2 separate regions of the Mus musculus genome follow, and region 2 is reported to be linked to region 1. Evidence: microRNA targets listed by miRTarBase, many of them from high-throughput screens and not tested one by one. Region 1 holds a microRNA gene; the other region holds the end of a gene's coding sequence.
What was found. The annotated mature microRNA mmu-miR-412-3p reads UUCACCUGGUCCACUAGCCG and lies in region 1 at 3,313-3,332, shown strand. An mRNA with a match to its seed (bases 2 to 7 or 8) in the 3' UTR can be bound and repressed. Matches are read on the target gene's strand: a 7mer-m8 pairs with bases 2 to 8, a 7mer-A1 pairs with bases 2 to 7 and ends in A, and an 8mer does both.

Region 2: miRTarBase lists Lmbrd1 as a target of mmu-miR-412-3p. Seed matches in the 3' UTR shown: 7mer-A1 at 1,841-1,847 and 8mer at 1,082-1,089.

Annotation. Positions count from the first base shown.
Region 1 is chr12:109,740,028-109,745,354 of GRCm38, forward strand. Mir412 (microRNA 412) reads left to right here and starts at 3,262; the gene lies at 3,262-3,341. Mirg (miRNA containing gene) reads left to right here. Exons shown (of 8, transcript NR_028265.1): 3 at 1,663-1,788; 4 at 2,035-2,263; 5 at 3,330-3,391; 6 at 3,639-3,820. It overlaps Mir377 (microRNA 377), which reads left to right and starts at 483; the gene lies at 483-550. It overlaps Mir541 (microRNA 541), which reads left to right and starts at 2,382; the gene lies at 2,382-2,471. It also overlaps Mir409, Mir369 and Mir410.
Region 2 is chr1:24,761,766-24,766,928 of GRCm38, reverse strand. Lmbrd1 (LMBR1 domain containing 1) reads right to left here. Exons shown (of 16, transcript NM_026719.2): 15 at 4,646-4,737; 16 at 628-4,306. The coding sequence ends at 4,193. Among named protein-coding and RNA genes, the nearest start is that of Lmbrd1, 86 kb to the right of the region's middle.

The DNA.
Region 1 (5,327 bases):
CCAGAGAGAATAGAGGACGGTGCAGACACCTTGTACCCTGATGCTGCTGGTTTGTCTGTGCGGTCTCTCAGGATACTGCCTTGGAAAGGGAGTTATCCTCTTTTAGGTCAGCCTTCATTGGTGGGCAGGATGGACCCTACTACACAGAGAGTCATGGTTTCTTCTATGTCAAACCTACCTCAGGACTTCTCTAGGAGAAACACTTTGGGATTCAGACTTGGTGTCCGTGTGCTTCTGGGTGAGTGACCAGTTTCTGGCCAAAGCCTGGATGTCTGTACAAGTCTCTGGCCACCTGTAGGCAGGAGAGAACTCTGCAAGTCAGTCCATTGCTAGTCTGCTTTGCAGTTGGACCTGGGGGCTCATCGGAGGTAATGCCAGCCTCCCTAGAGGGTGGGAGTCAGGGAGCCAGAGCCGAGGGAGGCAGGGCTGCCTGGGGAAGAGGCGCCCTGCTCAACTCTCGGCCTGTGCTGACGTTTGATTCTTGAGCAGAGGTTGCCCTTGGTGAATTCGCTTTATTGATGTTGAATCACACAAAGGCAACTTTTGTTTGAGTATCAAAGCCTGCTTGGGGTGGCATTGGGGACACGTTACAAAGTTCTGGGGTCTCTGCAAATGTCATGTGCTAGAATGGAAGGTGTGGATATGGGGATGGTCAGGAAGGGGTGTGGCTCAGAACGCCACGTGACCAGACATGTAGTCCCAGGAACCAATGGAGAGATGCCAATATCTACTCCCTGACTCTTCTCAGCCTGAATCCTCTTTGTCACACCAGCACCTAGCCCCCCTAGTTGCAGACACACTCGCTGTTCTATCTCTACTCTGAAGATACCTTGACAAAATGAACTCTGTCCTTTGACAGTGTCAAGGACAATGGCAGCCTTCCCTCCCCACCCCCTTCCTCTCCTCAACTCACTGGGTCAGGAGTGCTCACATACCATCTGTTTTTCCCCCCTCCCACCCCACCCCCTCAACACACCTCTGTCTGTTTCTCTTTCGTCCTCATCGCTCACCAAACCTTGTTCTCCATTTTTGGATGGGTTAGGAAATGAATAGAGGCGACCAGCATTTCATCCCGTTTACATTAAATAATAGTGATAAAATAATCACAAAATAACACCACAAACTACCAGAATAGCTTGGAGGAAAATGTGTTCAATTGACTACAAATTGGCAGAAGAATCCAATTTTCTTGACAACATTTGAGCTGCGACATTTGACCTGGGGAAACAGTACTCTGTAGACATGGCAGCCGCAAGGGGCAGCTTCAGTAGTGGCGGATGCTATGAGCAGTAATATTTGTGGTAGATGAACGCACATTGAGGAATCAAATCTTCGTTCAGATTTTTAAATGGGAAAGAATTGATCCTAATGAAAATGATTTGAGGAAATAACAAGGGAAATAAAAGAAATGAAAATGGCCCAACAGCACAGTCAAGGAAGCTAAACAGGGAATTGGATTAGTTTAATGGAATTTACTTTAAAAAAAAAAAAAGGAAAGAAATGCATGTTTTTTTATGAAAATCAATGTGGGTGTGGTGTTTGAGATGGGGAAATCTATGGATATAGACTAGAGCTAGTGGGGTGATAAGAAGGACTGGTCACCATGTGGGTTTTTTTTTTTAATGTGGCTAAACTTTATTTTCCCATCCCAAACCTTTACAGAGAGCTTCATGGAGTATTCAGAAGCTGGCGGGTGTCACCTGGAGGATGTGACTGGGTACCAGTGCCAGAGCACGTGCCCACTGAGCAGTCTTCTTCACTTTCCTCGATCCTCATGAAACATTCCGGGTAAGACACTGGTTCTGGGGAGTCTGCTCTTGCCGAGCAGTTGGTACCTGGAACATTCTAGGGCCTGCCCTTCCTTGGGTTTCCATGTTGCCAGCTCCCAGGGCTAGGCTTAAAGACGTACCCATTGTTGGTGCTGAAGGGCTAGGCCCGTACGGGAGGTCATTTTAGAGTGGATGTATCCAGGGTCTAATATACTATCTGGGGTGTGATGAGCACCAGGTTTCATGGTGGCTCTCTTTCCAAAAGGATCTTTACCTCAAAGGACTCCAGAGGCTACATCATTGTCTTGGAACTGGTCAGTGGCTGGAGCTCTCTCCAGGACAAGTGCTTGGAGGAAGAACCTGGACAAGCTTCCCTCCCCATACTGTTGACTGGATCTTGTAGCTACCGTTAGCCACCATCATCGCCATTGTGTGCCTCTTAGGAGCATTTCCAGGAGGTGATGCCAGCTGGGGAAAGAGCCTCTGTCCCACAGGTCAGTTTCCAGAACACCTACATGAAGCTGCCCGTGGCGTCTTTTCCCCGTATGACACACTGCATGTGACCAGTCTCTTGCTGCCCTGCAGCAAGGCTAGAAGCCTGTGTGAACTCTTGCCAAAATCAGAGAAGGGATTCTGATGTTGGTCACACTCCAAGAGTTTTAAAATGAGTGGCGAACACAGAATCCATACTCTGCTTATGGCCTAAGTCAATGGATCCTGACCCTTACTGGAGAGCCCTCCCTGGCGTGCTCGTGCGGGGCAGCCATACACACTGGCACAAGGGGACCCTGCGGGATCTCCTTCCGCTGTTCTTTCTCTCCTCCCTCCATGTTTATCTTTGAAGCATTACTTGCTTGGTTTATAGGACTGGATGGTCAAGCAGTTCTTGCTATGACATCACCGTGGGGGGAGGGGGCAGGTGACAGGGCGGGGATGCCAGGGTCGTGGGGCTGCAGTGGTTGGGTGGGCCCAAGGAGGAGCATCTCTGGATGATGCAGTCATTGCCTCCTCGCTTCTGGAAGGCATCGTCTCTGGGAGGGTGGTGTGGTATATGCGCAGGGTCTCAGCATCTCCCTATCTCCAGCTTACAAAGGAGAGATAGAGTAAGCAGAGTTCTGCACCCACTTCTGCCCCGAGTCAGCTCCTCGCTACCTGGGTCTCAAGGTTGTCTGGGAAGGCTTTAGATATTCTTGGAAGGTGAAAGGGTGGTAGATTGCACTGGGGAGGTGATGGAATAATTGCTTTCACGTGGTGGAGGGTGGCTCCTCACTGAATGGGGAGTTATAATCTCTGAGGGGCTCCAGGATGGTTCTTCTGGAAACTCAGCCATCGGCCTCGTTCTGAGCATCCGAGCCTCTCCGTGGTACTCGGAGAGAGGTTACCCGAGCAACTTTGCATCTGGAGGACGAATGTTGCTCGGTGAACCCCTTTTCGGTATCAAATCCCTCCAGGGAGGCCACCTCAGGGAAGACCATGGACTCATCTCGCTCTGGGGTATGGGACGGATGGTCGACCAGCTGGAAAGTAATTGTTTCTAATGTACTTCACCTGGTCCACTAGCCGTCGGTGCCCGCTGCAGCCTGCGCCCAGGATGTCACAGCCTCAGCTCAACACCTCTGCTGGTACTTGAAGGGAGATCGACCGTGTTATATTCGCTTGGCTGACTTCGAATAATACATGGTTGATCTTTTCTCAGTATCAACGCTCAGCTTGGAGAAGCTCTTGGAGTTGCAGCCCCTGTGGGGGTGGGGACAGCATGGTGCTTCTAGGTTGCTGCCTCCGCGGGGAACTGGGCTGGGTGGAACAGGCTGTGTGCTGCCTGTGTCAACCCTACTCACCATTTATATGCAATCCCCCCCTTCCCCCCAGGACAGCTTCAGGTGGTGATTCCAGCTCCAGGGTTGCTGCGGTCAACACTGGGTACTTGAGGAGAGGTTGTCTGTGATGAGTTCGCTTTATTAATGACGAATATAACACAGATGGCCTGTTTTCAATACCACCTGCCACTCCGGTCACTCGGCAGTACATACCAGGTGTCACACCACTGCCCGGTAGGTAAATGCATGGACTCTGTATGACGCTTGTCACCCCCTCTTCACTGAACCTCAGCTCTGAGGAGCCTCCTGGGATCGCACCAACCTTGTAGGCTGGGCCACGAAGCATTGGCCAGATGTGCAATGGATGGCTGTCCACTTTCCATGCCTCTTTCCCGCCACAACAATGGGTGTTTGTCCCTGTCTAAGGCTTCCACCGAGGGCTGCATGCTCAAATGCCCTGTACCCTGGGTGCTTCTCAATACCATGAGGGCTTGGAGGGGCTAGCATGATACTTAGGGAAGAGCCAGGCCAGTTGGTTACACGTGCAGTTCCTAGTATCTGAGGTGAGATTGCCCGTGACGGGTTTCCATTCTTAATGCTGGTACAGTGCATGGTCACCTCTCTTTATCATTGGCTCTTACTGTGTGAGCATGGGTGTCAGGGGAGGGACACACTTTGCTGACCCACTGGACACCACTGATGGTCAGGCATGTAGCTGACTCATCCTGACCCAGAGCCTCACATCTCCTGAGGTGGGGGTTGGGAAGTCCAGAAGGGCATCTTAGAGGAAGAAGCATCCTAAGTAGAGTCCGTGCTGGTGGTACCTGAGCTAGCTTGTCTCTGAGACGTTTGTTTTCTATCTGATGACTATCCCACAGCCTACTTCTCTGCACCATGTCCTACCCTAGACCATTTCTACTTTGAGGCATTGATGCCAAGAACTGAAGCCTTTGTGTTGGTTGACTCTCTAGTCTGTATGTGAGACCATCCCTTGGCCTGTCTTGTCCTCAGTGCCACCCTGTTGGAAATAGCACAGAATGTCCTCCTGAGTCTACAAGGCAGTGATACCCAAGCTCTGTCCCTGCTTCACGAGCACAGGGGGCCCAGTAGGGATTAGCCTGCACTTCTTTTTTTTTTTTTTTTTTTTTATTTTTTTTTTTTTTTTCATTTTTTTTTTATTAGGTATTTAGCTCATTTACATTTCCAATGCTATACCAAAAGTCCCCCTTACCCACCCACCCCCACTCCCCTACCCACCCACTCCCCCCCTTTGGCCCTGGCGTTCCCCTGTACCGGGGCACACAAAGTCTGCGTGTCCAATGTAGCCTGCACTTCTTCATGTTTCCTCCAACTTAACACTCTGGCTCTGTCAGACTCCTGTGAGCTTACTGTAGAGGCTTGACCTAGAGTCTCAAGGACCCCAGAAAGTACCTGATCACACCCAGTAGGAGCCTTTGAAAGACAGGCTATAGATTTTTGGTATTTAGTAAGGCTCCCCAGGGTGGCAAAGAGCTCTTTCTGATTGGGCTTGCTCCCCATTGGAGCAAGTAGCACCCTCACCCTGGCAACTCCACCCTGCATGCTTTTTCTCCTCTTCTGGGCCTCCTCAGCAGCAAAATGCTCTTCCAACAGAGATAGTGGCTGCGCACCCTGGCTTGTACCTAGCACATGGTCTCCTTTAGATTTCTTCTCTTGTTCAGGATGGTCTGCCCAGGCGCCCTCTCTCTGGGAGTTGGTCCTG
Region 2 (5,163 bases), not on the chromosome of region 1:
GCCTGCATGGGAACCACCCAGCGTCCCCTTCTCCCTCTGCCCGCTTCCCTTATCTCCAGGGCCTAGTGTCGCCCTGGGACCCCTATTCTGTTCTCAGCTCCTATCCAGTGTGGGATACCAGAGACTGAAAACCTGGTACCAGGGGCTGCCCTTTGTCCACCCCCCACCATGTGGGGTCAGTGGCTTTACACAGCCAGATGCCCTCCCGGGGCTGCATGCAAAGTGTCCAGCAGTCCTCCTGCATCCCCTTGCCCAGAGCACTGGAACTCTGTCCGGATGCGGGCTCTCTTCCTCCCCCTTCCCTCCCTACACCCATGGTCCCGCAGCTAAGGTCTTCTCTCCCCCGCCCCCTGCTTTTTAAACCAACCATCATTTTACCTGCTTATTATCTTAAGTATCAGTTTCGGTTGCTAGCCTGTGGCACTGTTAAGCGATGGTGAAACCTTTAGGAGCTGAGACCTAGTGGAAGGAGTTCATTTCATGTGGTGTGTGCTCTGGAATGGGACACTGGAACCCCACACTCTCACTGCTACTGGAACACAAGGTATTTTACCCACTGTCTGATCCCTACCATGTCATTTGGCCTCACAAAAAGGTTGGGGGCAAGGAAAACATCAACTCAAACACTTGCATTTGGGAACCAAAGTTCCTTTTAATATGATTTTGTTTTGTCATAGTGACAGAAAGATGACAAAGTGGCCAACATCAAGTGTGCTGTGTCTGTAGATTGTTTCTAAATCAGTACATTACTTTAAATATGTAACATTCATAAGACCTTAGTAGTACACCAGAAAACACTATTAGTTTATGCTGCATATGTGGGAGTGCAGGCATAGGCAGGTCAGGGACCAGTCTCAGGAGCTTGTTCTCTCTGGGTCCTCTGAGATCCAGGTCTCTCTGGCCTGTTCTCCTTGGGAGACTGAGATGGGACTCAGATGGGAAGGCCTGTGTGCAAACTACCTACTGATCTTTTTTTTTTTTTTTTTTTTTTTTTTTAGTTTTTTCGGGACAGGGTTTCTCTGTGTAGCCCTGGCTGTCCTGGAACTCACTCTGTAGACCAGGCTGGCCTTGAACTCAGAAATTCACCTGCCTCTGCCTCCCAAGTGCTGGGATTAAAGGCGTGCCACCACGCCCCGAGCCACTGCTGATCTATCTTGTAGGTTCATGAAAACATTGCTACTTTATTTTTTTTTTCTCCTTGGAGCTCCTAACCAGTTTTTTACCTGCACAGTAAGGGTTTTGTTGTTGTTGTTGTTGTTTTGTTTCCTTTTTAAACTTCCTTTGCTGCAGCAGCCCTGAGCTGGCTAGAAGCTGGTTCCAGGCTTCTCATTTCCGATTCATGGCTACATAAATTGATCACTTTGAAGTCGACATGGGACATGAGGGCCCTCAGTCTTTGGAAAGCCAATGCTCTGAATGATCTCTAATTTAGGCATTTCTGTGAAGACTTCAAAGGAGAGAAGCTGTTCATTAGTCGAAGTCGTGACACTTAGAAGTCAGCTTTATGGAAATATAAAGTCCAACACATTTCATTACACCAAAAGGGGGACAAAGTAGCATTTGAATAAAGTAGGCTTCTTAACACTCAGGAAATGAAAGGAGCAAAATATATATTTAAAATTTTCTTGTTTAAACAATAAAGAGTACCATGGTAAGCTAAGAAGTTGGTCTAACAAAAAAAAATCCTATCGTAAGTATATAGAATAATTAGGATATTTCTAAACTTATTAGATAGCAAAAAAAGTCTCAAAAGATATATATGCCTCCTGATACTTTGATAAAAGTATAGTTTATGTAGGCTTAACCAATGTAGACATGTTTATAGCTTCAAATTAGCAAATTCACCTATTAGTACTCTCTACATGTTATTCTACGAGTATTCTCTACGAGTTATTCTGGTTCCCAAGAACAAAGTCAGAAAACCTTTGCAATGTGCAGGTGCACATGGAAGCAGTCAGTCACCATCCGCTGTCCTGTCATGGTCCACACAAACAGCCAAGAGCCAGCATCTTCTCTCCTCCAGCCCTTAGAGGAGCAACATAACCCCAAGCCCAAGGGTTGATAAAGAATTTCCTTAGGGGAAAGGCTGCCTGGGCATTCAAGTATGCAGAAGGAACCATTCAAGTACGGCTATGAGGAATCACTCATGTAAATACAGAGGAAATGGCCAAGAGCCCTGCAAGCAAATAAAACATCAGAACGGCCTTAAATACCATGCAGGGGCTTACGGGTTTCATTTTAAAATAAGTGAAAGCCTTTCACAGCGAAGCAATGAACTAATTCCATTTCTGTTTTAAATGTCAAGAAAAAGCTGAGAGGAGTCAGGACTTGGAAGCACAGGTAGTGAGGAAGTTTAGGAGGCAGCGTGTGTTAGTTAGTTGCCTTGGCTCAATGGCAAACACCATGGACTCAATGGGTTGTCAAGTGAAAATGTATTATCCAACAGCTATGGAAGCCAGATGTTGACAGGCAAAGTGCTGGCAGAGCTGGCTTCTAGAGGTCTCTTTCTTTGGCTTATAGATTGCCTTTTTCTGTGTCCTTCCATGACTTCGTCCCCAAGCTGCCTGCAGAGCCCAGACATCTCTAGGAGGGATCCACTCAACGGCCTAATCTTACCTAGATTACCTTTCTTTGTTTAAATTTATTTATTTTATATATATGAGTGCCCTGACTTTAGAAACACCATAAAATGGCATCATATCCCATCACAAGTGGTTGCTGGCATTTGAATTCAGGACCTCTGAAGAGCAGCCAGTGCTCTTAACTGCTGAGCCATTTCTCCAGCTAGAGTGAGGACTTCAACATGTGACTTTGGAAGGATATATTCTAACAGGGTAAGTGGCACCAAGTAGATAGAAGAGAGGACAGAGTAAAGAAAAGATAGGCAGAAAAAAACCAACACAACTTCATGATGGGCTTCATATATAAGGCGGTCTTGATTTTTGGTGGGCACAATATGGGAGCCTAATACTGACAGGCCAGGCCTTTTGCTATAAACAAACAGCAGAGAGGCTTAGTGTTGCAACTGAAGCAGTAACGGAGCTTACAGACAAGCAAGAGTACAGGGTCGGGATGCAGGGGGAGGCCAAGGGACTGACCCACACCCCCAAAACGTGAACTAGGAGCAGAAGGGATCGGCATCCCGGTGAATCACATAAGAGTGGGAACAGAAGCCAAGTCTCCTAGCAGGTTCTAGAAGCTTCTCAGGTGAGGCAGGGAATCAATCAGAGCAGCAAGTACAGTCAGAACTTGGGCCGAAGATTCAGGGGCAGACGAGTTAACTCTTAGGTCTTCTCCTGAGCCATACAGATCTTTTACTTCAAGCATCCCGGTAAATACTTTTGAATAAGTCCTAGCTGACATTAGCGAATTAAGCCTTTATTTTCACTGCCCAGAACGCAGTCAGAAAACTCTGTTAAGTCACACAACTTTCATTTTCTTTCACAGGTTTCCAAATCCTTTACATGAGAAGCAGCTGAGTATGCTGTCACGTGACCTACCACGCTTAGTAAGCTCAGTCTTCAGCATTCATTCTTGACATTTCCATTTATGACCTTCCAAGTTTCAAAGCCTTCTATAAAACAAATTTTATCTACATATTCTTGTAGAGGTACTCCATGGATTAAGATCTGAACACTGCCACCTGGAACACATCTTAGAGTCTTGTGGTTTTAGGCAGTTTAACACTTTTTCACGAACTCTACTTGAGTTAGACTCATTATGTTATGGGCAGAATTGAAAGCAAGCTGCCCATGAGTTATGCTTACCCACAAGCAATACTGAGACATTGTTTAGCCAATCAGCGGAAGCTACTTAAAAGTTTCACATTATTCCAGAGACCCTAAGGCACAAGACAAAGTGACTTCTTATGTTTCTTAAAAGCAACAAAGGGAATGTATATTGTGTAAGATTTTAATAAATTTAACACTATTTTACAATAAAGAAAATTTCCACAAACATTCCCTCACAAACCTGGAAACTCTGTATTTACACAGTATTATAGCAATTTTAAATGTTAATCTATGATACAATAATGCTACTTCAGGAAACATAAAAAATATAGTACTTTTTAATGGCCATGCTCTCATTTTTGATGAAAGCTAGACAGTTCATTTTAATGTTACTTTAAACTTTTGAAAACGCATAATAGATATTCAGCCAGCTTCATTAAGCCCTTAGGACAGAAGGCCGTTCACGCAGAGTAGGCAGACGGCTCATCATCACTTAAGTCCGAATCTTCATCCACTCCTTCTATGACTGACTTCTTCCCTTTACAGCAGGATACAATTAATCCGATCAAGAACACCTTTAAATTCAAATAAGCAGTGTTACTGAAATGTAAACATTATGCAACACAGTGCCAACTCAGCAGCTGGAGTAAAGAGTGTGTGTGACACAATCGCTAAGACTTGTCACTTGGGGCAGCTAGCGAACTCCCCTAACATCATCTCCCGGAACTCTGATTCCCTTCTGGGCACCATGGGTACCTGCACACATGTGGCATTCACTCACATACATATCAAGGGCACCTCTCAAAACCATTCAGCGACAGTAATAAGATTCAGGCAGAAAACTGACATACATACAAGCATGCACTTAATTGTGTTAAAGGAAGGCCAAGTCATGTTTGGCTTCATAGACTTACCACGAGAAAGGCCCAGTTACCAAAATAGTATGCAGCACTGAAGAACCAGAACTTGTGGAGGAAAATGTATGTTCGGGTAACAGTACACTGATCTAAAGAGAGCAAATAAACAATTATGTTCAAGCTGTTTCTTTCATAAAGCAATGGCTCAGTTGATATGTTATGCAAACGATCAGCTCTGCGCCTTCTCCCATGACTGCTTTCAGTCAGAGCCAGCATTAAGCTATCAACTATTATGACATATTATGAAATAAAATGAGTGTCAATATTAGAATTTTGATACCAAAAGTAAAAGTTTTATTTATTGGCCAGTTCAACTTCTTTGAACTAGAAAAGTAAGTACAATACGGAGTCCCAGACAGATAAACAAGACAGAAAACAAGGCTTTCCTGCCAAGAAAAAAACGGAAAGAGTCATCATGCCTACTAAGTGGAGACGTGGCACTTTGTAAGGAAACTGAATCTCAGGATAGCTCACCCTTGAAAGGATTTGATGAGTTCGACAGCACCTCAGGGCAT